Linked DNA regions of Tamandua tetradactyla. The protein of the gene in region 1 interacts with the protein of each later gene in a pairwise test. Links are inferred from orthologs where the notes say so. Each region holds a gene or a part of one and is shown in the gene's direction. Other genes may lie near its edges.

Region 1 (11,164 bases):
TTCCCTGGCGATGTAGCCCATCCAACTATGGGCGGTAACTTTTGATTAGATGGTTTCCATGGAGAGGTGTCTCCACCCATTCAAGGTGGGGTTGCTTACTGGAGCCCTTTAAAGGGTACCATTTTGGAAAAACCTTGCGGGCAAACAGAGCCCACAAAGCAAGAGACCTTTGGAAATGCAGAAGGAAAACACTCCCAGGGAAGCGTTAAGAAATGAGAAGAGAAAGCTAGCACCATCAGTATGTGCCTTACCAGCTGACAGAGGTGTTCTGGACCCATTGGCCCTTTCTTGAATCAAGGTATCTTTCCCTGGATGCCTTAGTTTGGACATCTTCACAGCCTTAAAATTGTAAACCTGCAACTTAGAAGTTCCCTTGGTAAACAGGACTACTGCAGGAAATGGAATGCAGAAGCAGATATGAAAACCCAGCTATCTTCTACCGAGGCATATTTAAAGAGATATTGCAAAAAAAAAAACAAAACAAAACTTTTTTTGGAAAAATATTTCATAAAAACATGTTATTTATTTTATCATGTACTGGGCTTAATATGTTATTTTTAAATGAATTAAATAGCTTTTTTCTACATTAAAAAAAAAAGCCATTCCATTTCCATTATATTGCATTCCAACAGCTTTAACAAACTAAAACTGATTTTGGTATCAGAGAAGTGGGGTGCTGCTGCAGTCTGAATATACCAAACATGTTAGAGCAGCTTGTTAAATGAATAAAGGGAAGATTCTGGCAGAGTTGTGAGGAACTTGATAGAGAAAGCCTAAAATGCTTTGAAGAGACTGTTGGGAGAAATGTGGACTCTAAAGATACCACTGATAAGGACTTAAGCAGAAAGGATGCATTTCCAAATAAAATGCAGGAAGTGCAGCATGTTTTCTCCTTGCAGCTTATAGTGAAATGCAACAGGAAAGAGATAAGTTGAGCACTGAACTCCTGTGTGCAAAGAAAGCTGAAATTGTTATTCTGGAAAATTCTGGGCTTCCAGAAAGGGAGACCCCAGGGAATAGTGACTCACATGAGGATTTAACCAAACATAGAAACAGCCAGCTATTTCAGGACAAGCCAGGATTGGAGCTGGAACTATCCAGGAAGGATCTCTGGAAAATCCTATTGTCTGATAGTCACATTCTCTTCATACGACATAGAAAATCAACAAAAGTGTTGCAGAATCTGCATAAATGGAACCACTGCCAGTCTGGATTAAAAGGGACAGAAAAGGGACAAATTGAAGGAAAAGTAGCCTCAGAGGCAGAACCATGGAAGCTAAGGTTTGAAGACAAGAAATGTCGGGCAAGGAGAGTGGACCCATCTATACACATGGAGAGGGTGAGTTTGCCCCAAAGGCAGAGGGTGAGTCTCCCCGCTGGATGCTCTGGAAGAGTTGTCTCCCAGACCTTGGAGAGGGTGGAGCACATTCCTGGGGGACTGGGGAGAGCCTGGCTGCCACCCCATTATCCTGGAAGGGTTGAACGTGTGCCCCAGAGATGGCAGAGAGCCTGGTTGTTGCCTCAATGCTCGGAAAGGGCAGAGCTGAGAAAAAGGTGCTCTCCCCAGTGTCCTTCAAGACTGCAAACCCCACACCAGCGTTTGGAGAGGGTAGAGCTGCTGAGCAGACCCTTGGAAAGAGTGGGGCTCCTGCTTTCTAAAGTTCTGAGGATAAATGACTCTCAGACTTTGAAATCTAATGGAGTTTGCCCTGTAGGTTTCAGAACTGTTTGGGTATGGTGACCCCTGTGTTCCTTCCAATTTCTCCTTATGGAAAAGGAAATATGTATCCTATGAATACCCCTTCTTTGTACATTGGCAGCAGGTAACTTGTTCTGAGTTTTACAGGTCCACAGACAGAGGAGAGTTTTGCCTTAAGACAGACCAGGTCTATAGCTGACTTTGATGAGATTTTGTACCGTTTCTGTATATTGCATTTGTTTATTGTTACTGAAATGGTTTAAGGCTTTGTGCTATTGTGATGGAATGAATGTATTTTGCATTTGGGAAGAACATGCTTTTTGGGGGTCCAAAGAGTGGAATGTGCCGGTTTGGAATTGTCCTGTGCCCCAGAAAAGCCATGTTCTTTAATCCTCATTCGGTATTGCTGTGTGGGATCTTTTTTATTATTCCCATGAAGGTGTGACCCACCCAATTATGGGTGTAACTTTTGATTAGATGGCTTCTGTGGAGCTAAGTCTCCACCCATTCAAGGTGGGGCTGTTTACTGGAGCTCTTTAAGAGGGAAACATTTTAGAAAAAGCTTGAGAGCCAACAGAGCCCACATAGCCAGAGATCTTTGGAAATGAAGTAGGAAAACACCCCCAGGGAAGCCTTATGAAATAAGAAGAGAAAGCTAGCAGACATTGTCATGTGCCTTCCCAGCTGACAGGTGTTCTGGACCTTTCTTGAGTCAAGGCATCTTTCCTTAGATGCTTTAGTTTGGGCATTTTCAAGGAATCAGAACTGTAAACTTGCAACTTAATAAATTCCCTTTTTAAAAGCTGTCCTGTTTCTGGTATATCACATGCCAGCAGCTTTAACAACTAAAACAGAGAGGAAGTCGGTTAAACCTGTACTGGAGAGAAAAGAATTTGCATGTCTACAAGAATTATTTTGCATTGTTATCAGTTGCTAAAATTTACTGATGATAAAAGGAAAACTTTTCATGCAGTTTAGGATCCCACAGCTTTTTGAGCTATTCGTGAATCAAGCAGCACCCCATTCAGAAAGTAAAAGGAAACTCCCCACCCCCAGCTGGCCCCAGGAGATGGAAGGGAGAAACTCTTACTGGGCAGACGAGGAAGCAAGGGAGGAAATATTTGGATTGGCTGGCATTAAGTTTCCATTTTAGGTGGGGTGGAGGGTGTGTTTTTATGAAGTGAGGAGCAGGTGGCTGCTAGGAACCGATTAGCTGGCGATAACTTATCTGCCGTATTTAAATTTGGTTTCCTGGGCAAGCCCAGCGTTTACAGGAAATAGTAAGTAGCTTAAGTTTACTGTTTCGCTAACGTGAGGCTTAGCATGGGTGACTCCGTGTTGGGCCTACAAGATTTTATTTCTCACCAAGTTGTACAAAAGCTCAAAGAAGATGAAATAGCCTGGATAGCCTGAAAGGGTGTGCTGTAAACTGACAAAATCATTTTCCTCCCCAACTGATCACCACTCTATCAGTCACCTCAGTACCCTTCAAGTTTAGTTACATAAACACACAGGTAAGATGTCTACTGTCTATGGTGCATGAAACGTGGTTTTTTTTTTCATGTATTAATATATTTCCTGCCTGTTTTTCAGGTAGTCTCTGAGACTTACTCTAGCTCTGTCATTGAGCCTTTATCTGACCCAGACAGCCCCCTCTGAAAGGAAGTTCCCGCCTCATCTAGGGATAGACAATGCCAACATTCTCTCCCCAACCTCACCCTGTGAAGTCCTTGGAACATCCTGAGTGGGGAAGAGGAGCTGTCATACCTCCTAGGACAGCTTCACGCCTACATCTGCGAAGCCAGAATCATCCCGGAAAACAAAAAATCCTGATCCTGGGGGAGAAAGGAGAGGAGAGTTCTTGAGAGATAAGAAGTTAGCAAGGGCGAGAAACTTCAGAGCAGGCATTCCTTCCAGGAGCCAGGCAGCTAAAAGAGAGGGTGAAGCTGGCCAGGTGGGGATGAATAGGGAGTGGTGAGGACTGCGGCAAAGAGGGCGTGCATACCTGGTATAAAAGGGCAGTCAATGGGGACCCTGGGCTTTGTATTGCCAAGAGTCACATTTTTTTTTTTTTTGCATATTACCATAACACATTTTTTATTAATATTTTTATTGTAAACAACATAAAACATTCTGTGGTGTACAATCAATGGCTAGCAATAGCATCACAAAGTTGTGTATTCATTACCATGATCATTTTTCTGAACATTTGTATCTCTCCAGCAAAAGAAATAAAAGCAAAAAAAGAAACACTTATACATACCATACCCTTTATCCCTCCCTCTCATTAAGCACTAGTATTTCAAACTACTCAATTTAACCTTTGTTCCTCCTAGTTTTTGTTTCTTTTCTTGTTCATATCTTTTACTCATCTGTCCATACCCTAGATAAAAGGAGCATCAGACACAAGGTTTTTGCAATCACGCAGTCACAATGCAAAAAGAAGCCACATTTTAAAACAGAAGCTAGCAATAAAAACTCGAATGTCAACAAGTTTCAGTTTTAAAAAGAATATTTATTTTTCAATTTAAACATTTTTCATTTTCTAAAGGGTAGTCCATTCACATTGTTCAAAAATTTAAAAGGAAATCAGGTTTATTGTAAAAAAGTTTCCTTGCATTCCTATGCAAGTCCCCTGGTTGCCATCCCAAGAAACCTTCACTGCGCCTGTACCTTGTATCTTTCCGGAAATACACACAGAAGCACACATCTAGGCATACACACGCAAAGATTATCTTTCCTTTATTTACACAAATGGTAATATAATTTTCACACCCTGCTATACTTTGTTTTCATCCCTTAAAATATATCTTTAAGGACATTCTCTAGCAGTACATAACCAGCCTCCTCATTCTTGTTTACGGCTGCCTAATATTCCTCTGTGTGGCTGTACCATAATTGATTCAACCAGACTCCCTTTGATGGACAGCTGGGCAGAAGTGGGGAGAGGGTGAGGAAGCAGGGCTCATTTCCTCCCAAGAAATCTCTGCGTGTCACCACTTCTAGGAAATTCTTCCCCCCGGACGCTATTAGGTGCTCAGGGCTTACTATTCCAGAACGCCTCGGCTTCAGGTTGGGGAAAGGGGTCTCTGCGCTTGCATAAAGGGAAGGAGACTCCTAGCTGAGTATGGGGGTGCATAGTAGGCTGAAGTTGTGGAGGCACCAGCAAGAAAAGAAGGGAGGCAGCCTTCCCTCTGGGGGGAAACTCCTGAAGTTTGTCTCGGGGTTCCCTCCACCCACCTGTTTTCCAAACCGACATGTATTGGCACTTACGATATACATGAAGCCTAGTAAAGGACCAAATAAATGGACGGCCCAACCCCCAAAGCGAGAGAAAACTGAGCCAAACAGCGCCCCCTTATGGTGTCTGGGAGCAGCGTCCTTGCAGTTTCTCCGCCAGCTACTGGTCAGCAAGTGAGAGTCCAAGGCTGCTGGGGGAAGGGCCCTTGGAGGGCACCTAGTCTACGCGGCCCCCCATCTACTTTTAGGGACAAGGCACTGGACTCGGAGAGGGGACACAACTTGTCCATGGGGGTTCGGGCATTCGCCAGGGGCGGCGACTTTTGATGGGCAGGGGCCGTCCGGAGACCTGCCGCGGAGCTGGCCTGCGCAGCGACCACCCTTGTCTTTGCTCAGGACGAGAGTGTATTGGGGGTAGGGGTTGAGAGGTCGATGCAGAGGCGCTCCCGGCGCCGGCCCCGGCGGAGGAGCTGGGACCCGCACCCGGCTGGGCGGACCCCAGCCCCGCGCCCCCGCTGCCCGGTGCACGGAGCCGCCCCACCCCCGCACCCCCAGCGACACCCGGACACAAGGTCCCGCCGCGCGCTCCCAGGCCCGCCGGACAAAGAGCGGGAGTTCCCGGGACCCGAGCCCGCCGCGCCGGGGCCGGGTGCGCCCCCTCGGCAGCCTCCCCGCAGCTCCGCGGAGTCCGCGCACCGCCCCCGCGTGGGTGCGCGGGGCGGGGGTGGAGGGGGGGGTGGAGCGAAGCGTGGGCGGGGCTCGGGGAGGAGGAGTTCGCCCCACCCCGGCCGCGCGCTTCCAGACCGCCCGCCGGTGCACTGTGCAGCTGGACTCCGCCGGAGCCTCACACTCGGTCCTGAGATGACAGCGAGCAAGCGGGTGGCGAAGGTAACGCCCAACGGGATGACCCCCTTTTCCCGCGGCCGCCCGGTTCCCTCCGCGCTCTCTCTCTCCCTACCCCGGCTCTCCCGGTGCATTTTTGTCTGGATACCAGGGTTGGCTGAATCTGCTATCCCCGCCTCCCTCCCCAGTGGAGGAGTGCGTCTGCGAGAGGGGGCTAGAGGTGGGGGTGGGGGGTGGGCCATGCGGAGCGGGGCTGTCGCTCTCCCCCCCGCCGAGCTTTGCTGAGAGTGCGAACGAGCCCACTGCAGGCTATCCCGATGCTGCTTTCAGTTTCACTTCCCCTGCCAGAAACTTGAGGGAACAATTGCAGCCAGGGTTCCTTGGCGACTTCCTGGTGTCATGCACTCTTCTGGCGGAAAAAGAGGGTTATGAGCAGAGAATAAAAGGGGACAAGGTCCTCGCCTTCGAGTAACAGCCTGTGGCCGCCCCTAGGTTGTTACCTTTCTTATTAAAGTCCAAGGAAACGTAAGATGTTGACTCCGAGTTTCGGGCCGCATTCCCCGAGCCTTCTCGGGAGGAAAAGATGCCAAGGTGACCTCGGAGGTCTCCTGGAGATGGTGGTGTGCATTCATTCATTCGTTCCACCAATGTTGTTGAATGCCTCTTATGGGTCATCTCATCGGAGGATGGGAGGCAGAGGTGAAGGAGCTGGCACAAATCTTTGCTCTGGCTGAGCTTTCATTCTAATCAGGTACACAATTTGCCATGTGTTCTGGAAGGATAGGGGGCCGGGGCACGAGCTGGAGAAGGCCAGCTCGAGTGGGGAACTGGACTGTAGATAGATGGGGGAGGAAAAGCAATCCTGGTGAAGTAAGGCTGCCCATCCCACAGCCTTTGTGTCTCTCAGAAGTGTCCTCTAGTCCTTAGAGTAGAGGGACAGGCTTGAGGGGGTAAAGGAGGGAACCTTGGAGAAGATGCTGTCTGAATGGGGCTCTGAGAGCAGGCTCAGCCTGGAAGAACTGAACTCCCAAGGTAGGCTGGAGGTTGGCTGGAGAATTCTTGCAGCCGAGTGCTAAAGAGATGGGAACCAGTGTTTGTTACACTGGCAGTTCAGGTCGGTTATTTCTTCTCATTCTCACGGCCAGCAGGTGGGATAAGCAATAGCACCCCATTTTGCAGATGGGGAAATGAGGCTCAGAGAGAGTAAGTTGCTTGTTCACTATCACCCGGTAAGGAAGTGATGGGGCTGGGAGTTGAGCTGCCGGCTCTTTGAGTGACTTCTGTACTTTCATTTTCTCTTTCTGTAAATCAGGTGATTTTCTGAACTGGCTTCAGGAAAAAATTGTGTGTCCTAGCTTGGTTGCAACATTTTCTGGGAAAATTTGGCAGAACTCATAACACATCAATTCCTGAATGTTCCCAGTTAAAGTCAGGAAAATGTCCATTCCAGAGCTTTTCTTTTTTAACTTGAGCTTCAAGACACTCAATGAGAACTTGTAGTAGCAAATTCTCCTTCTAGTTTGGGGTGAAAGATAAATGATGTTTATGCAGAAGGCACCAGGAGCAGTTGGTTGGTATGACGAGAGACAGAGGATGGGCTAAAAGATAGAAGGGAGGGGGACAGAGAAAATTCAGACGGATCACGGGGTTAAAGGACTCTTCCCCAACTTTGGGCTGCGTTTGGGAGCTCTCTGCCAGTCTCAGTCCCATCAGTATTGACATTTGGACCAAATAATTTTTCACCGGAGTAGACTGGCCTGTGTATTGTAGGACGTTATGCACACAGGGTGCCAGTAGCACCCCCCCCCCATTATAACAATCAAAAATATGTCCAGACATTGGCAGATGGCCCCTGGAGGGCAGGGGACAAAACTGCTGGTTTATACCAACTAGGTATACCAAAGAAATAAGACCTGCTTTTGATTAATTTTCATCTTTTTTTTTTTAAGTCTCTGTAGTTGCACGGAATGGACCCCAAAAAGGTTCCTTGGTTAAATATGTTTGAGAGGTATTGCATGTGAAGGGCTCACATCATAACCCACAATAAAGGCTCTGGGAAACCCTGCAGTAAAGAAACTGGTTTAGCCCAGTGTTTCCCAAACTTATATACCTATGGGACTCTTTTCCTGTAGTAACTATTACCCTTCCATGGGGTGCAGTGTACACATTTGTCCTAACTGGTCCCTTTGCTCTGGTACCCTTCCTCTTCTCTGCATGAAACTCCTATTTAATCTGCAGGACCCAGCTCACAACGTGCAGCCTCTGTGATACCTCCCAGCTTTCCTCATCTCTCCTTCCCCATTTCATGTTACCATGTAATCACATTCATGTTTCCTGCATTCTTCCATGGAACTTCTTGAGGACTGGGCTCTGTCTTAGACGAGTGTCAGTAGAGGATGCTCAGTAAATGATTGTTGAGAGAATTCACGGATATCCAGATGATTGGGTCACATTTCGGGGGCAAATTCACTCCTTGCCCCCATGTTCCTCAGCTTGGCATGTAGAGTTCTCCTCTGCTGTGGTCTGCCTGAGTCATTTTCCTTCCTCAGGTGTATTCAGGTGGAGTTTTTGCTGCATAAATCTGCCATAAGCACCATCCACTCATGTCCTGTGGGGCACTCAGCAGATGCTAATGGAAGGGTGGGTGGTGGGGGAGTTGGGACCTAGTGATTTTCTAGGAAGAGGGCAAGAGGTACAGGTGAAGTACCTTGGTTTTAGGAGAAAGGGTTCCTGAGAGAGCTTTATCCCACGTTGTAATATCTGAGAGAAGTTATGTACATCTTCCCTGCACCTCATACTTACAGAGCTGTGGTGAGGCTGAAATCAAAGAATTCTCACCAAGTACTTAGCGCCAGGCCTGACACATACTCAAAACAGGGGCCTACTTTTGCTGGCTTCTGCTGTCCACTGTGTCATGTTGTGCTGGGGCCAGGGAAGGGGACGGAAGTAGGGAAGACTAGGCCAACTGTCCATTCGCTGTGCCCCCCTGCAGGAACTGGAGGACCTTCAGAAGACACCTCCCCGGTATGTGCGGGACCTGTTCAGCGATGACGCCAATGTCTTGGTGTGGCACATGCTTCTCCTGCCCGTGAGTGTCCATGGGGATCGCAGCTTTGGACTGGGGGAGGCTTAGCCCATGGGCACGGGTGGGCGGGGAGGGTTAGGGCTGGGCAGGGACCGTCTCTCCCTTAGTGTCCTTTCACTGGAAATGCTCCTTGGCGGAGGGGTCTCCATCTGAATGGATTGCTTCTGAGATCCAAGCAGACTGATGAAGAGGCTAAAAGGCCTTTGGACTTAGTGGGAGGTACTTTCTTCCAAGCTGCAGCCACCAAGTCCATCACAGAAACTGGCACCCCTTCCACAAACAACACCAAAAAGAAAAAAAGAGAAAATCTCCTGGACTTTTGTCAAAGGGTAGGGGGGTAGGCTCCAAGTGTCCATGGTTGGTAGAATTTGCTCCCCCCAAAACCAAAATGTGTTTTCTTCTTTTAAAAAATATAATTTATTTTGAAATAATTTGATGTTTGCAGGACAGCTGCCAAAATAATAGAAACCTCATACAGAGAAGTACAACATACCCCACCTCTGAATACCCACACCAGTTTAGCATTTTGCCGTGTTTGCCATTTCAGTCTCTCTGACCATCTAACCATCAATCTATTTACCTATCTGCCTGTCTATTTATTTTCCAAACATTTAAGAGTAGATCGCACACATCTTGCTCCTTGAACATATAATACTTCCATGTGTATTTCCTAAGAACAAGGATATTCAGTTGTTTTTTCCATCATTCAACAGCTATTTTTTTTTTAATTGAGCAGTTGTAGGTTTACAGAAAAAATCACACAGAAAGTAGAGTTCCCATTTAAAATGAACATTTTGCATTAGTGAGGTACGTTTGCCACAATTTGGTAAGACAATTATTAACTGTAGCTCATAGTTTACATTAGGGTTCACTCTGTGTTGCACAGTTCTGTGTTGTTTTTTCTGGCAACTTATATACAACCTAAAATGTCTCATTTTATCTACTATCAAATATACAATTCAGTGGTGTTAATTACTTTTCACAGAGTTGTGCCGCCATCATCATCCATTGCCAAAGCTTTTCCATCACCCCGAACAGGAGCTCTGTACCAATTAAACATTAATTCTCCATTCCCCACCCCACCCAGCTCCTGGTAACCTGTATTCTAGTTTGACTTTATGAATTTGCATATTCCACTTATTTTGTTAAAGTGCGATCATATGATATTTACCCGTGTTTTGAATCTGACTTGTTTCACTCAACATTTTTTCAAGGTTCTTCAAGGTTCATCCATTAGAACTTTTATATATATAAAATATAATATATATTATATATAATATAATACTCCATTGTATGTCTATACTATGTTTTATCCATTCATTGGATGTTGGGCACTTGGGTTGCCTCCACATTTTGGCAATTATGACTGTGCTTCTATAAACATCAGTGTGCAAGTATCTGTTTGAGACCCTGCCTTCAGAGTATATAGCTATATACCTAGAAGTGGGATTGCTGGGTCAGATGGTAATTCTATAGTTAACTTCCAGGGAATCACCAAACTAGTTTCCATAGTAGCTGTACATTCCCATCAACAATGTACAAGCATTCTTATTTCTCAGCATCCTTGCCGACACTTATTTTTAATAATGGCCATTCTAGTGGGTGTGAAATGGGGTCTCATTGTGGTTTTTTTTTTCCTTTCTTTTTTGGTTATCTTTTATTTCATTGTGGTTTTTATTTGCATTTCCCTAATTGCTAATGATGTTCAGCATTTTTTCATGTTTTTATTGCGTCTGTAGATATTTCTGTGATTGCTGTCTATTCAAGTCTTTTGCTTATTTTTTAATTGGGCTACTTGTCTTTTTATTGTTGAGTTATAAGAGTTCTTTATGTATTCTGGATATTAAACTTTTATTAGATTAATGTTTTCCAAATATTTTCCCCCACTCAGTAAATTGCCTTTTTACTTTCTTGATAAAGCTCTTTGATGCAAAAGTTTTTAATTTTGATGAGACCCTTTTATCAATTTTTTCTTTTGTTGTTTGTGCTTTTGGTATAAAGTCTAAAAACTCATGGCTTGACACAAGTTTCTGAAGGTGTTTCCCTGTGTTTTATTCTGGGAGCTTTATAGTTTTGGTTCTTATATTATGTCTTTGATGCATTTTGAGTTTATTTTTGTCTATGATGTGAGGTAGGGGTCCGCCTTCAATTTTTTTTGCATATGGCTATCCAGTTCTTCCAGTACCATTTTTTGCGGAGACTATTCTTCCCACTGATTGTACCTGCATCTTGTCAAAAAGCAGATGACCATAGGTTTGAGAGTTTATTTTTTATTTTAAGTATATAGAAAGCTTGTA
Region 2 (11,884 bases), on another chromosome or scaffold:
AAGGTCTCTGGCTGTACAGGCTCTGAAGCTTTTCCAAAAGTCTGCTCTTAAAGGGCTCCAATGAGCAACTCCACCTTGAATGGGTAGAGACACACCTCCATGGAAACCATCAAATCAACAGTTACCACTCACAATTGAATGGGTCACAGCTCCATGAATAATCAAAAAGCTCCCACCCAGCAATATTGAATGAGGATTAAAGAACATGGCTTTTCTGGAGTACACCATAGATTCAAACCAGCAAACCACGGTTTGCCAACCCCCAACCAAAGCCATTCCTGTTAACTCTAAAGAACACCTAGGGTTCTATCTGAGATTCTACAAATGTTTCACATACCAAGATGACTTTCCAGAAACCAAAAACCTCCAGATGGGTTCCTAAGTCAGACAAGTTCTGAAACTCAGAGGGGCCAGCCTCTTCAAGAACATTAACTCGTTTCATCCCTCTATCCTATATTGTTGATACCCCTTTCCTACATGAAAAAGTTAGAATGGGTATAGCCCACGTTCTAGTTTGCTAGCTGCTGGAATGCACACACCAGAGATTGACTGGCTTTCAATAAAAGGGGATTTATTTAGTTAACATAACATATAGTTCTTCAGAGGAAAGGCAGCTAGCTTTCAACTGAGGTTCTTTCTTACGTGGGAAGGCACAGGGTGATCTCTGCTGGCCTTCTCCCCAGGCTTCTGGGTTCCAACAACTTTTCCCAGGGTGATTCCTTTCTGCATTTCCAAAGGCCTGGGCTGAGCTGCGAGTGCTGAGCTGCGAGTGCTGAGCTGACGTATGCTGAGCTGCTTTGGCTGCGCTAAGTTGAGCTTTCTCATTTAAGCACCAGCCAATTAAATCAAACATTGCAGCAGACACTCCTCCTAGCCAACTGCAGATAAAATCAGCAACGGATAAAGTTCACGTGCCATTGGCTCATGTCCACAGCAATAGAACCAGGCACCTTCACCTAGCCAAGCTGACACCTGAATCTAACTACCACAGTCTATATACCCCTAAAGACAGGGAGAAGCATCAAAGGAGGAGGAGGAGTTATAACAGAGAAGACAGGATTTAACAAACGAGTATCACTGCTGAATCATTCTATTGATATTTGTTTTAGTCTCTAGTGTCTTGAAGCAGTTAGAAGGAAAAACATAAAATTGTGGAATAGTAACCCATACCAAACTCTGAAATCCATTCTATAAAACTTGTTATAATGTACCTTGAAATTTATTGCTTTTTTGTATATATAATATATATATGTTATAACAATAAAAAGTTTAAAAAAATAGATCCTTCTAGACAAAATGCAGAGAACAGATATAGCAGAGCATTAGTCGAAGCAGGGAGACTAGTTAAGGGACTACTGCTCACATCCAGAGATCAGAAGAGTGGCTTGGTCTATACTGTGTGAATTGAATGTGGAATTTAAAAGGGAAAAAAATAGTCATGAATGATTCCTGAATTTGAGGCCCGAGTAAATGGTGAAAGATGGTGGCATTAGGGAACCGAAAAACATTGGAGGAATGGCAACATTTGGTGACAAACTTTGGTTTTGCTTGGGACATGTTAAATTTGAGTATCAATATAACACTAAATGGATATATTAAAAGGACAATTGTTCTACCCAGCAATTTGGGTAGAACAGGGCGTAAGGACTGGGAATTCATCAGCGTAGGGGAGGTACTAAAACCAAAGGATTGGATGATATCATTAGGAAGTGAGTATAGTTGGAGCAGAGGCTGAGAATGGAGCCCTCCTAGCTCTCTCGAGCAACACTCATCACAGTGGCAATTTCACATTTAACTACTTCACTAATTTTTGAAACCCCTACCAGATCAAAGCTCCTTGAGCACAGGGACTGTTATCTCTTTAGAGATCCCATTATATCTAACAATACTGGGCCTGGCCTTTAGCCAGACTGAAGGAACTGAAGTTATTTTGAAAGGTGATTTTACAGTATCTCCCATCTTCACAATTGGAGATGAGTATAGGAGTTGACTTACCAATTCTATTTCTATTAATATAATCGCCCCAATTTTCACAACTATGTGAAATAGAGTATATCCACAGGACTTCATTGTACCTGCATAGAAAGAGTCCTGGAAGGATGTGCATCAAACTCTGGAAAGTAGCAACAACCCTGGATTAATGAATGGAAGTAATGGGGATGTTCATATTACTTTTTTTTTTTTTTTTATGTTTTTAACAAGAAACTTTATTGAATTACAAATTTAAAAATGAATGACTTAATTTAAAAGTGGGAATAACTTTACTCCTTTCTTAAATTTACTCTTTCCAAAAATGCACTATATTTTTTAAGTGACAATGCAATAGGTTAATCTGTGAACTCACAAAGTAAAGATGGGCTGGTGGAAGGGGGCCAAATCTTACAAATATGGGTCTTAACGTGGATGTTCAAATATTATTTTCCATATTACATCAAACTGATATGCAACAAGAAATGGGAAAAAGGGGGATTGGAGGGGAGTGTCAAGCATGGACTGAGGTCTCTTTAGCAGCATCTGACAGAATGCAGATTGAGTGGGATAACATGTAGCCTTTTTAACAGTGGCCTTTCAGATGCACTGGAACAAGTGCACAATCAAGGAACCTGATAGAACAAATGTACACACCTCAACAAAAAGTAAAATTTTAACTGTAAGAGCTGTATAGAAGACAACTTGCACTACAGCCCATATCCAGTCTGTTCAACCTCATACAACATGTAAAAGAGAAAATCAGCAAATAAAACTAAGGGCAAAAATATTTTCCATCAACCTCCATATGGAAAGACCACAGTTTTAATGGCTTATACAATCCTTAAGCTTACTCCTAGGTCAGTGTGGATTTCCAAATCAAAATCAGATCTTGAACTGTTTACATTAACTACTCTATAGTAAAATGCTAACATTTTCTTCCCAGCAAGTCTTCCATGAAGGACAAAAATGGTTAAAAGCTTTCATTCTTCGCCTATGCAGGGATTTATGAAAAAAAACTAGGTCAGTGTGGATCTCCAAATCAAAATCAGATCTTGAACTGTTTACATTAACTACTCTATAGTAAGATGATAACACTTTCTTCCTAGCAAGTCTTCCTATGAAGGACAAAAACGGTTAAAAGCTTTCATTCTTTGCCTATGTAGAGATTTATGAAAAAACCATACTAAACTATGACAGCGTTCTTCTGCAAAACTAAAATCAATTACAAAATGAAACAGGCAAACAAACAACGAAACCCAACTAATTTCAACAAAGTAAAGTCAAGTTACCAAAAGTAAAATCTGTTAAGAACAAGTACATGTACAAGAAATTACAAGAAATGATGATCATGGTAGTTACAGATGCAAAATATCTAATTATCCCATGCTTGAGAACATAATAATTAAAATCAAATTCATATGCTGGTTCAAATATTATATATAATTTAGATAAGCTGGTCAAGTACTATTTGAATACACACCATATTTGATAAACCTAAAATCATATTACCTTTTCTTCTTCTCTAATATTTGCAGGTACATGCCAATATGGAAATAATCTAATTTCCACTTATGTATAAAGAGAAGAATAACATTTTTAGTGTAATGTTTCAGACTGTAAAAAAGATAAGGTATATTTTTCTTTAACAAGAAAAGAAGAAATCGAGTGCCAAAAGTTTAACTGATAAAAGTTTAATATCAACTTACTTATAAAAATGAAAGAAATATTCTGAAACAGATACCATACAATTATTATATGGTCTCCCTACTGCTATTTGAACATAGAAGGTGTTTAAGGAAGGGAAGTTAAGTCAAAAACAGACTAACCCAAGGGATGTATGCTGCTTTAAAAATCTGATTTGTCAGAAAACTAGTTGCTTGGCAGAGTTTTAAAACTAATTACAAAATCCATTTTCTTAATGGTCCAGACATCTTGCCAATTCTCTCAACTCAGCAGAACTTCCATCGATTTCCACATTCATTACAGACAACAAATGTTGTCATTGGTTCATCAGCACTACGGGTTTGTACCTGTGTGCAAGTACAGTTCTTCTTTTTATATTTGCCACATGTGAACAAGTCAGTCTGGGTTCCACCCGTTTTGGCCATTTGATGCTCTCTGATGGCTTCTTTGGTCAAGTTTTTCCGCATCTCTTTGAGCTCATCGCTAGCCATTTCCTCTGCTGTCATTCTAGCAAATAAGTCAGGAGGAATATTCCCACACAGTACATTTTTCCTTAAATTTGGATTCTTTGCATCCTTAAGATTTGATATCCTACTGCGTACTCTATTTTTGTATTTCATGTCTGTATTCCTTATTTCTTGATATATAGCTTCTTCAATTTGAGATCCTAATTCTTTCTCATCAGCTCCAATAGCAATGTAGTCGTCTCCTGTTCGGAGAGCTGCAGCAAGCATCTCTCTACACTTTAACCGTACAGAATCAGAAGTGCTTGGTGCCGGAGGAAAAGATGAAACATAAGTATCTCGAGCATTTGTCTCATCCTTTCTGCTGCTTACGCTGCCACTGGAGCTACTTTCTTCTCTTGCATCAGGGCTATTCTGCGATGTCATGGCAGGTTCTTTTTTCTTTTCTTCAGAGTCTTTATCAGTTGATGGTCCATCTAGTAATTTTTTCCAGGATTTGATGAGAGACTTTGCTAAGGATGTAACTTCTTCATCTGTACTCTGCTTGCGAATAGCATTAACTGACATTCCGATTCTTGTGGACTATAATAATTCCAGAGTCATGGGAATATTCTTAAGCTCTTTCAGCAAATCCAATGCTCCAGCCGCGTTTTTCTTCTGCACCATCTTGTCCATCTTCTTGGCGATGTGCACCACTTCGTCCTCCATGCCGCCGGCGAGAGGTCGCGGCAGGCCCGGTCTAGGCCCTTCCTCTCACAGCGAACCCGCGGCAGCCCATATTACTTTTGTATTACAATACATTTATACTATTTTAAATTCTTATATGTTGAATGTATCAAGTATATTGGTTATTAAAACCAATAAAGGCTTAAGATGGAATACACATACCCAAGAGCAATATATGCTAACATGACAGATTATATTTACAAAGATGATTGCATCAACACATATCCATCTCCTATGCTTTTCTTACAACATGATGTTGATATTTCTCCATTGAGGGGAAGGATGTATTCCCCTCCCTTGACCTAAAAAGGAAGATCCTTTCTAATCGGTTTGACCAATAGAACATAGTGGAAATGGTGCTGTGTGACTTCCAAGGCTAGGTCATAAAAAGTGACATAATTTCCACCTGCCTCTCTCAAGACATTTGCCTTTGGAACCCAGCCACCATGTTATAAAGCCTAGGACAAATGGAGATCATGATTTGTGGGGTGATCACAAATCATGTGGATGTGGGTGTGGGTGATTGGGCTAACAGCCTCAGCTAGGATCCCAGGTGACAGCCACCATGAACCAACAGATGCATGAATAATAATCCTTCAGACGACCCCAGCCCCCAGCCTTTGAGTCTTTTTTTGCAGGGGTTGTGATGGTGGTGGTGCAAGGGCTGGGAATCAAAGCCAGGTCTCCTGCGTGGGAGGTGAGCATTCTACCACCGAACCACTCAAGCACCCCAGCTTTTGAGTCTTAATACTGAGGCCCCATAGATTATGGAGCAGAAATACATGGTTTCCACTGCAGACCGATTGAATTCCAGTCCCACAAAAACCAAGACATGTTTCATTTTATATGTATTCTAATTCATCTATATATCTTGAAAATGGAATATCAAACATATTTGTATTTTATTCTTATCCCTTAAGAATATAGCACAAATACCTTTCCTTTTCAATAGATGCCTTAGAAGAGCATCATTTTTAATGGCTTTCCTCATCGAATATTTTACCATAATTGATTTAACAAAGTCTCTACTCTTTGAGGTTGGGATGCTGCAAACTTTTTACTGATAGAAACAGCATTCCAAAGCACACATATATGCAGTTGTGTTTAATCATATCCTTAATTTTTTGCTTAATTTTAAAATCATTTCCAGAGAAGAAGCTGCCACTAGTGAAAAACAATACGATCATCAGCATGCCAATAGATATTTATTTAATAAGATAAAAATAAAAAACAAGGTTGGAGCTATGCCATGAAGAAAATCACCCGTTAGCAGGAGAAAGACAGGAGAACAAATGAGGATAATACAAAGTTTAAGGGTTCCAACACACTGTACATGCTTGCATGTATTCAATTATGTGAGCTCCTCATTCCCTATTTTGCTAATGCAATAATTCCACAGAAAGATCGACTGTTTCCCTTCTATTAATTGAAGAGAACTTATTACCAGTAACCCAAAGTGAGAGCTTCGATTTGAAATTTCATTAAAAGAAAATATATTTCGGGTCTTTTGCTACATTATAAATAATTCAAATGGATATATTTTGTTAAAACAAAGGAAACAAGTACTCTGGATCATGGTGGAGACTTTTATGTTGCTAATGTACAAAACTGATACCCCCACAACAAATTATTATTTTCACTACAAATTAATTGGGTGTTTTTTTTAGTAGTTACACTGATTTCGATACGTGTTCTGAATTAAACTTGAAGCTGAAAATCATGTAGTTCTTGCAGGAAATAAGAGCCTCTTACACATTTACATATCTTGATTTGTCTGCACATTCACCGTTCGCATTAGTGGAAATGGGTGGGCTTGTTGTCTATGGATTTGCATAGCCAGGGAGGTTCCCTACCAATATCGGCTTCACGCAGGCGTTTTCACTGTCGTGCAGATGCAACTTGGGTGCGTCTCCGTGGCTCTACCTAATCCTAACACTTGGCGACAAGTCTCAGAAGGTTTTGGAAGTCATAATGATAGTTCCTACATTGTGAGAAACGTTGGACAGCTAGAAGAAAGTGTGCAGCAAAGAAGTTATGATTCAATCTTGTATGGTGAATGAGAAGCAGCACTGGGCGGCGAATAAAGCAAAGGCAGAAAAAGCGAAAGCCCAGAGATTCCCGGGCCACGAGAACACAGCCTCCACGCGCAGGCGTTGATTTCCAATTCGGCTACGCAGACTCAAAGATTCAGGTCTCCTCTCGACCAGAGCAGCTGGGAAACAACGGCCCTCTATCCACTGCACAGAAACCAGATACTGTGCCCGTGCCCGACACCTAAGTACTCACATGGTCAGAAAAACGCTGGTTAAAATTATCCCAAGGAGGCAGGACTGGTGGGCGCACGCGGAAAGCGATGACTTTGAACATCCCTCGGTAAACCGAACCCTCCACTATGTCCTGCGGCCAGACTTTGGGTCTGAGCGACCGGCTGTACCGATAGCAAGGCCGAGTACCCCTCACACCCCGCGACTGCGGTGACCCAAGGCGACCGCGGGGCGACCTCGGGCCGGAAGTGACGCAGCAGCGCCGAGTACTTCCGGAGCTGCAGGGACGGGTCAGCCGGAGGAAGCGGCGCGGACCCTGGCTGGCGTCGACTCGCTGCTTCCGCCGCCGCAGGTTCTCCACCCGACCTCTCTGGCCTGGACGACCTGGCCTGGCCCGCCTCGGCTCAGCAGTTGCTGGGCTGTGGCTCCCGGTAAGTGCGCGGCACGTGTCGAGGCCTTGTTTACTTGGGCGGGAGGAAGACTCCCCGCGCGGTTCCCGGCCGGGCCCGGACTCCGCCTTCGCCGCCGCCCGCGAGGCCTTGGCGCTTCCCGCCCATCGTACGTGGTCTGGACGCCCCCCCGCCGCCGGCCGAGGGGCCGGAGTGTAGAGAAAAGGCGGTAAAAGGCTACGGCCGGAGCGGGCAGTCACCCGGCACCTTTTCGCCCTTCCTTCTCCCGCCGTCGCCTCAGTTCCCGGAGTCGTCGGAGGCCAGCGGCTCTGACGAACTGGCACGAGCGCATCTTGGCCTTCCCCGCTGTGAGCGCCGAGGAAACGCGCCACGTCCGGGGGGCTTTACTCAAGTCTTCATGGGAGCTTTTGCAGTGCTGCCGGCGCGTTTTGTTTTTAACATACCCTCCCCCCGCCCCCGTAAAGGGTTCCCCCCCTAGCGCGAGAACAATCGCGTCCGCTCGAATATCCCAGCGACCGCGGCGCCTCGCAAGGGACTTGTGGCCCTGTAGCAGCGCCGCAGTCTCGCTGGATGCTGCGGGGCAAGCCACGCGGGAGTCAACTGTGTTCTCGGATGACTTCCCTTCTACTCAGTGTTGCTCTGTCCCATAGAACTTTTTGCGATGATGGACTTGTTCCATTCTTTTGCTGTCCAGTACTGTAGCCTCTAGTGACACGTGAGTTCATTGAGTATTTGATATGTGGCTGGTGCAACTGAGGAATTAAATTTATATTTAGATTTTGTTTTTAAATTAAGTTAAATTTGAATAATCACATGAGGTTAGTGCCTAGTGTATTGCACGGTGCAGATATAGACTAGGGTTTTGAAACTAAGTTGCCGATATTTTTGTGCCAAGTAGTTTTCTTTAGAGATGTAGACTTAGTAAAATACCAGTAAGTGCTGAATAAAATATCAGGAACAAGCATCGTCATATTCACCAGAAGTCTGTGGTTTTTTTCTCTGTCACCTTGAAACTGAGAAGTTTTCAGTTTGGATCCTTTCCTTCCTTGGTGGGGCCTGGCCTGGTGAGAAAGCCTAGGGTGGGTCTTCTGAACACTTGACTTTGGCTTTGGAGGAAAGTAATTTCTGTTAGTTTTTTTTCTATCCGGGATGTAGGAATATTTAAGGACTACAAAGAAATCAAAGCTTTGTCATCAGTTCTGTTAATAAGGAAATAATGTACTGAGTAAGATCAGAAGGTTAGCTTTTCTTAAAATAGAATACGGATATTTAACTTTGAAAGGATGAGAAAAGTTTTTATTTAGATCTGAACCTAGAATGCCCAATAACTATAAAATGGAGTTCTCTTTTTTTCCTGGGAAGTTTTTTCATCCTTTTGAATGTTTGTTGAGAAACTTGTGGGTAACTCCTAAACCCAGATGCTGGGGAGAAGCCCTGAGAATGTAAAAAGCATGTGCTTTTGTTGGTGTGATTCTGGAGGGTCTTTTGGTACCTTTGTGGACAGTATCATCTTCTCTGGAAGAGTGGTGGGGAGTTATGAAACCCCATAGCTCATTGGTTTGGTAGAGGATGCTGGGCAGTTGCCAACCGTGTAATCCTCTGCAAATTACTTAATCTTTTCTGAACTATAGCTTTCTCATTTGTAAGAAGGGGATGATAGCCACTTTGTATGGTTGGAAGATAGAATAAGTCTGAGTTGAAATTGGCTCTCATTAAGTGAGAGCTATTAGAGGTAATGCTTTTTATGGGCAGGAACAATATTTATGGATTCTTTTTCCCTAGAGCTAGTATCTTGGTTGAAAGTTACAGGTAAAAGAAAAGAGGGTGAAAAGATCGGTTGCATGTCCTCTATTTTTGTATAAACAGATAAAAATTAATCTTTTACAGTCGTTGTTCAGATTGATTTTTTCATTTAGTTTATATTTGCTTGTCTTTGCGTGAAGTATTTCTTTGCAAATTGTAAACTTTGATTTTCTCAGAAATCCTAAAGGATAAAGTAGTAGAAATAAAATTTGTAATTGAATAAGCAACAGGTAGATTTATTTAGTCTTTGATAGTGGGATCTATATCTATGGGGAAGTCAGCTGGCCCTGGAGCTTGTCAGAAGAAAGGTAGGTAATGGGTGTTAATATTGCATAGTGTGTATCTTATTGGGAACTTTTTTTGGGGGGGTACATTGTCCAGGAATTGAACCTGGTAGCTCCTGCAATGGAAGGTGAGAGCATTCTACCACTGAACCACCCATGTACTCCCTTTTTTTTTTTTCCTTTGGAAAACAGTTTTCATGAGTAAACTGAGCTCTGAAATATTAGCAGTACTCTGTATTAGAGTACCACAGTGGGTGACTTTACAGTAAAAGTACAATTTTAAATCAGTTATAACTTCCCCTGAAAAAAATCAAATGCCTTGCCTACTTCTATCAACATTTAGGATTGAGATTATATTAGTTAATTGAGAGAATCTGAAAAATAGAAATGTAGGAGCAAGGAGGTAGGCTTTCAAGCCAGAAGAAATTAGGTATCTATTTCTGACAGCAGTATCGCAGGTTAACTTATTGTCAGCTGCTTATTTTGAATATTTTATTTTTTTAGAAGGTAGTGTAATTCTTGTCAATATCATTATGACCTGGATTTGTTGGGATTTAAGAAAATAATGACTTCAGTAGTCTCTTTGGCCCTTTGTTACTGTACTTTTAAATGTTTTTGCTTTTTTAAAAATAAATTTACAAACCAAGGTACCAATTATAAATATGATTCTCTCTTTTCATTTTAGATGGAAATCATATGACACCGATTATTTGGGTGATGTCTTTTTAACAGATCTTCAAGAACTGTAGGTATTTGTAGTTCAAAGATGATCTCTTCTGTTAATGAAAAAATACCATAGTTCAGTTGTGATTAGGTGATTGTGCCATCTGGAATAATTTGTTAAAGGTCAAACTGCCAATATTATATATATTTAAATTTCAATATAATTTATTTTTTACTGTGGTGAAATATACTTAAGTCATTTTAACCATTCTAAGTGAACAATTCTTTGACTTTAAGTATGTTAACAATACTGTATAACTTTCACCACTATTTCCGGACTATTTTTATCATTCCATATCAAAACTCATCCTTATTTAGCAATAACTGCCCATTGCTCCTTACCCCTACCTCTGGTAACCACTATTCTGCTTTCTGTCTCTATGAATTTGCCTATTCTAAGTATTTCATAGTAGGGAAACTATACAATTTTGTCCTTTTGTGTCTGTCTGGCTTATTTCAATTGACATGATGTCTTCAAGGTTCATCCATGTTGTAGCATATACCAGTGCTTCTCTTCTTTTTACAGCTGAATAATATTTTATTTTAGGGATATACCACATTTTGTTTATCCATTCATCTGTTGAAGGACACTTGTGCAACTTCTACCTTTTGGCCATTATGAATAACTCTGCAGTATACATTGATGTACAAATTTTTATCTGAGTCCCTGCTTTCAATTCTGGGTATATAAGTATACCTAGGAGTGGAATTGCTGCGTTGTGTGCTAATAATTCTGCCCTATCATTAATGTGGTTTTTTTTGAGCATTTATAATTTATATATTAAACTTAGATCTACTGATATTTTAATAGTATAAAAAGTGGCTCTAAATGATTTTAGTATCATTCTTTTTTGGGGTGGGGGGATTGCATGGAGAGGAATTGAACCCAGGTCTCCTACATGGCAGGCGAGCATTTTCCCACTGAACCATCTGTGCACCTCCCATTTATTCTTAATCTTTATGTTATGGTTGTTTTTTTTTTAAAAAAAGATTCTCTACCTTAAATAGACAGCATTTACTTCTCATTTTATCCAGATTTGTTTATGTCAATTGTTTATATGTAACACTGAGTCTAAATGTTCTTGCCTTTTAAGATACTATTACCTTTTAGATTTAAATCACTAGTTAATATGATTCCATGCAAATGATCACTTGAAAGACTATGTATACAGAAAAATTAATGGGTATTTGCCAAAATCTTTTCTGAAACAAAGTTAGGACTGTTTTGCTTTTTTTATTGTTCTCTTTGCATTTATAGTAATTGAGTAACATTTTGATCTGGGACGATTTTTCAGTAGTTAGTTCAGTTTGAACTCTTTGTTTCTTCATCCTAAATAGATTCTAGTTTTCTCTAGCCTTGATCCTGCTAACATATACTATCTATATTTTTCCTTCACTAATGGGTCAGTTTTTTTTGCCTCTAAGTATTTTTAAAGGGTAACTCTGAAGGTAGAAGCCTTTGAAACTGAAAATTCAAATCAGTCAACTTTGCAAACTAGAGGAAAATATTAATTGCAACTCAGAAAGGTTAGGTGGCTTTTATTTTTCTTTACTAA

Evidence for each region.
Region 2: the proteins of UBE2L6 (region 1) and ARIH2 interact in binary tests that used the Homo sapiens proteins (3 or more experiments, as listed by UniProt). The link is inferred for Tamandua tetradactyla from reciprocal best matches to the Homo sapiens genes UBE2L6 and ARIH2.

The regions. Positions count from the first base shown.
Region 1 is NC_135335.1:20,004,800-20,015,963, forward strand, and holds the start of UBE2L6 (ubiquitin/ISG15-conjugating enzyme E2 L6), read left to right. Parts: upstream 1-5,703; 5' UTR 5,704-5,800; coding exon 5,801-5,827; intron 5,828-8,774; coding exon 8,775-8,870; intron 8,871-11,164. UniProt on the Homo sapiens protein: Catalyzes the covalent attachment of ubiquitin or ISG15 to other proteins. Functions in the E6/E6-AP-induced ubiquitination of p53/TP53. Promotes ubiquitination and subsequent proteasomal degradation of FLT3.
Region 2 is NC_135341.1:37,308,247-37,320,130, reverse strand, and holds the start of ARIH2 (E3 ubiquitin-protein ligase ARIH2), read left to right. Parts: upstream 1-7,383; 5' UTR 7,384-7,539; intron 7,540-10,290; 5' UTR 10,291-10,350; intron 10,351-11,884.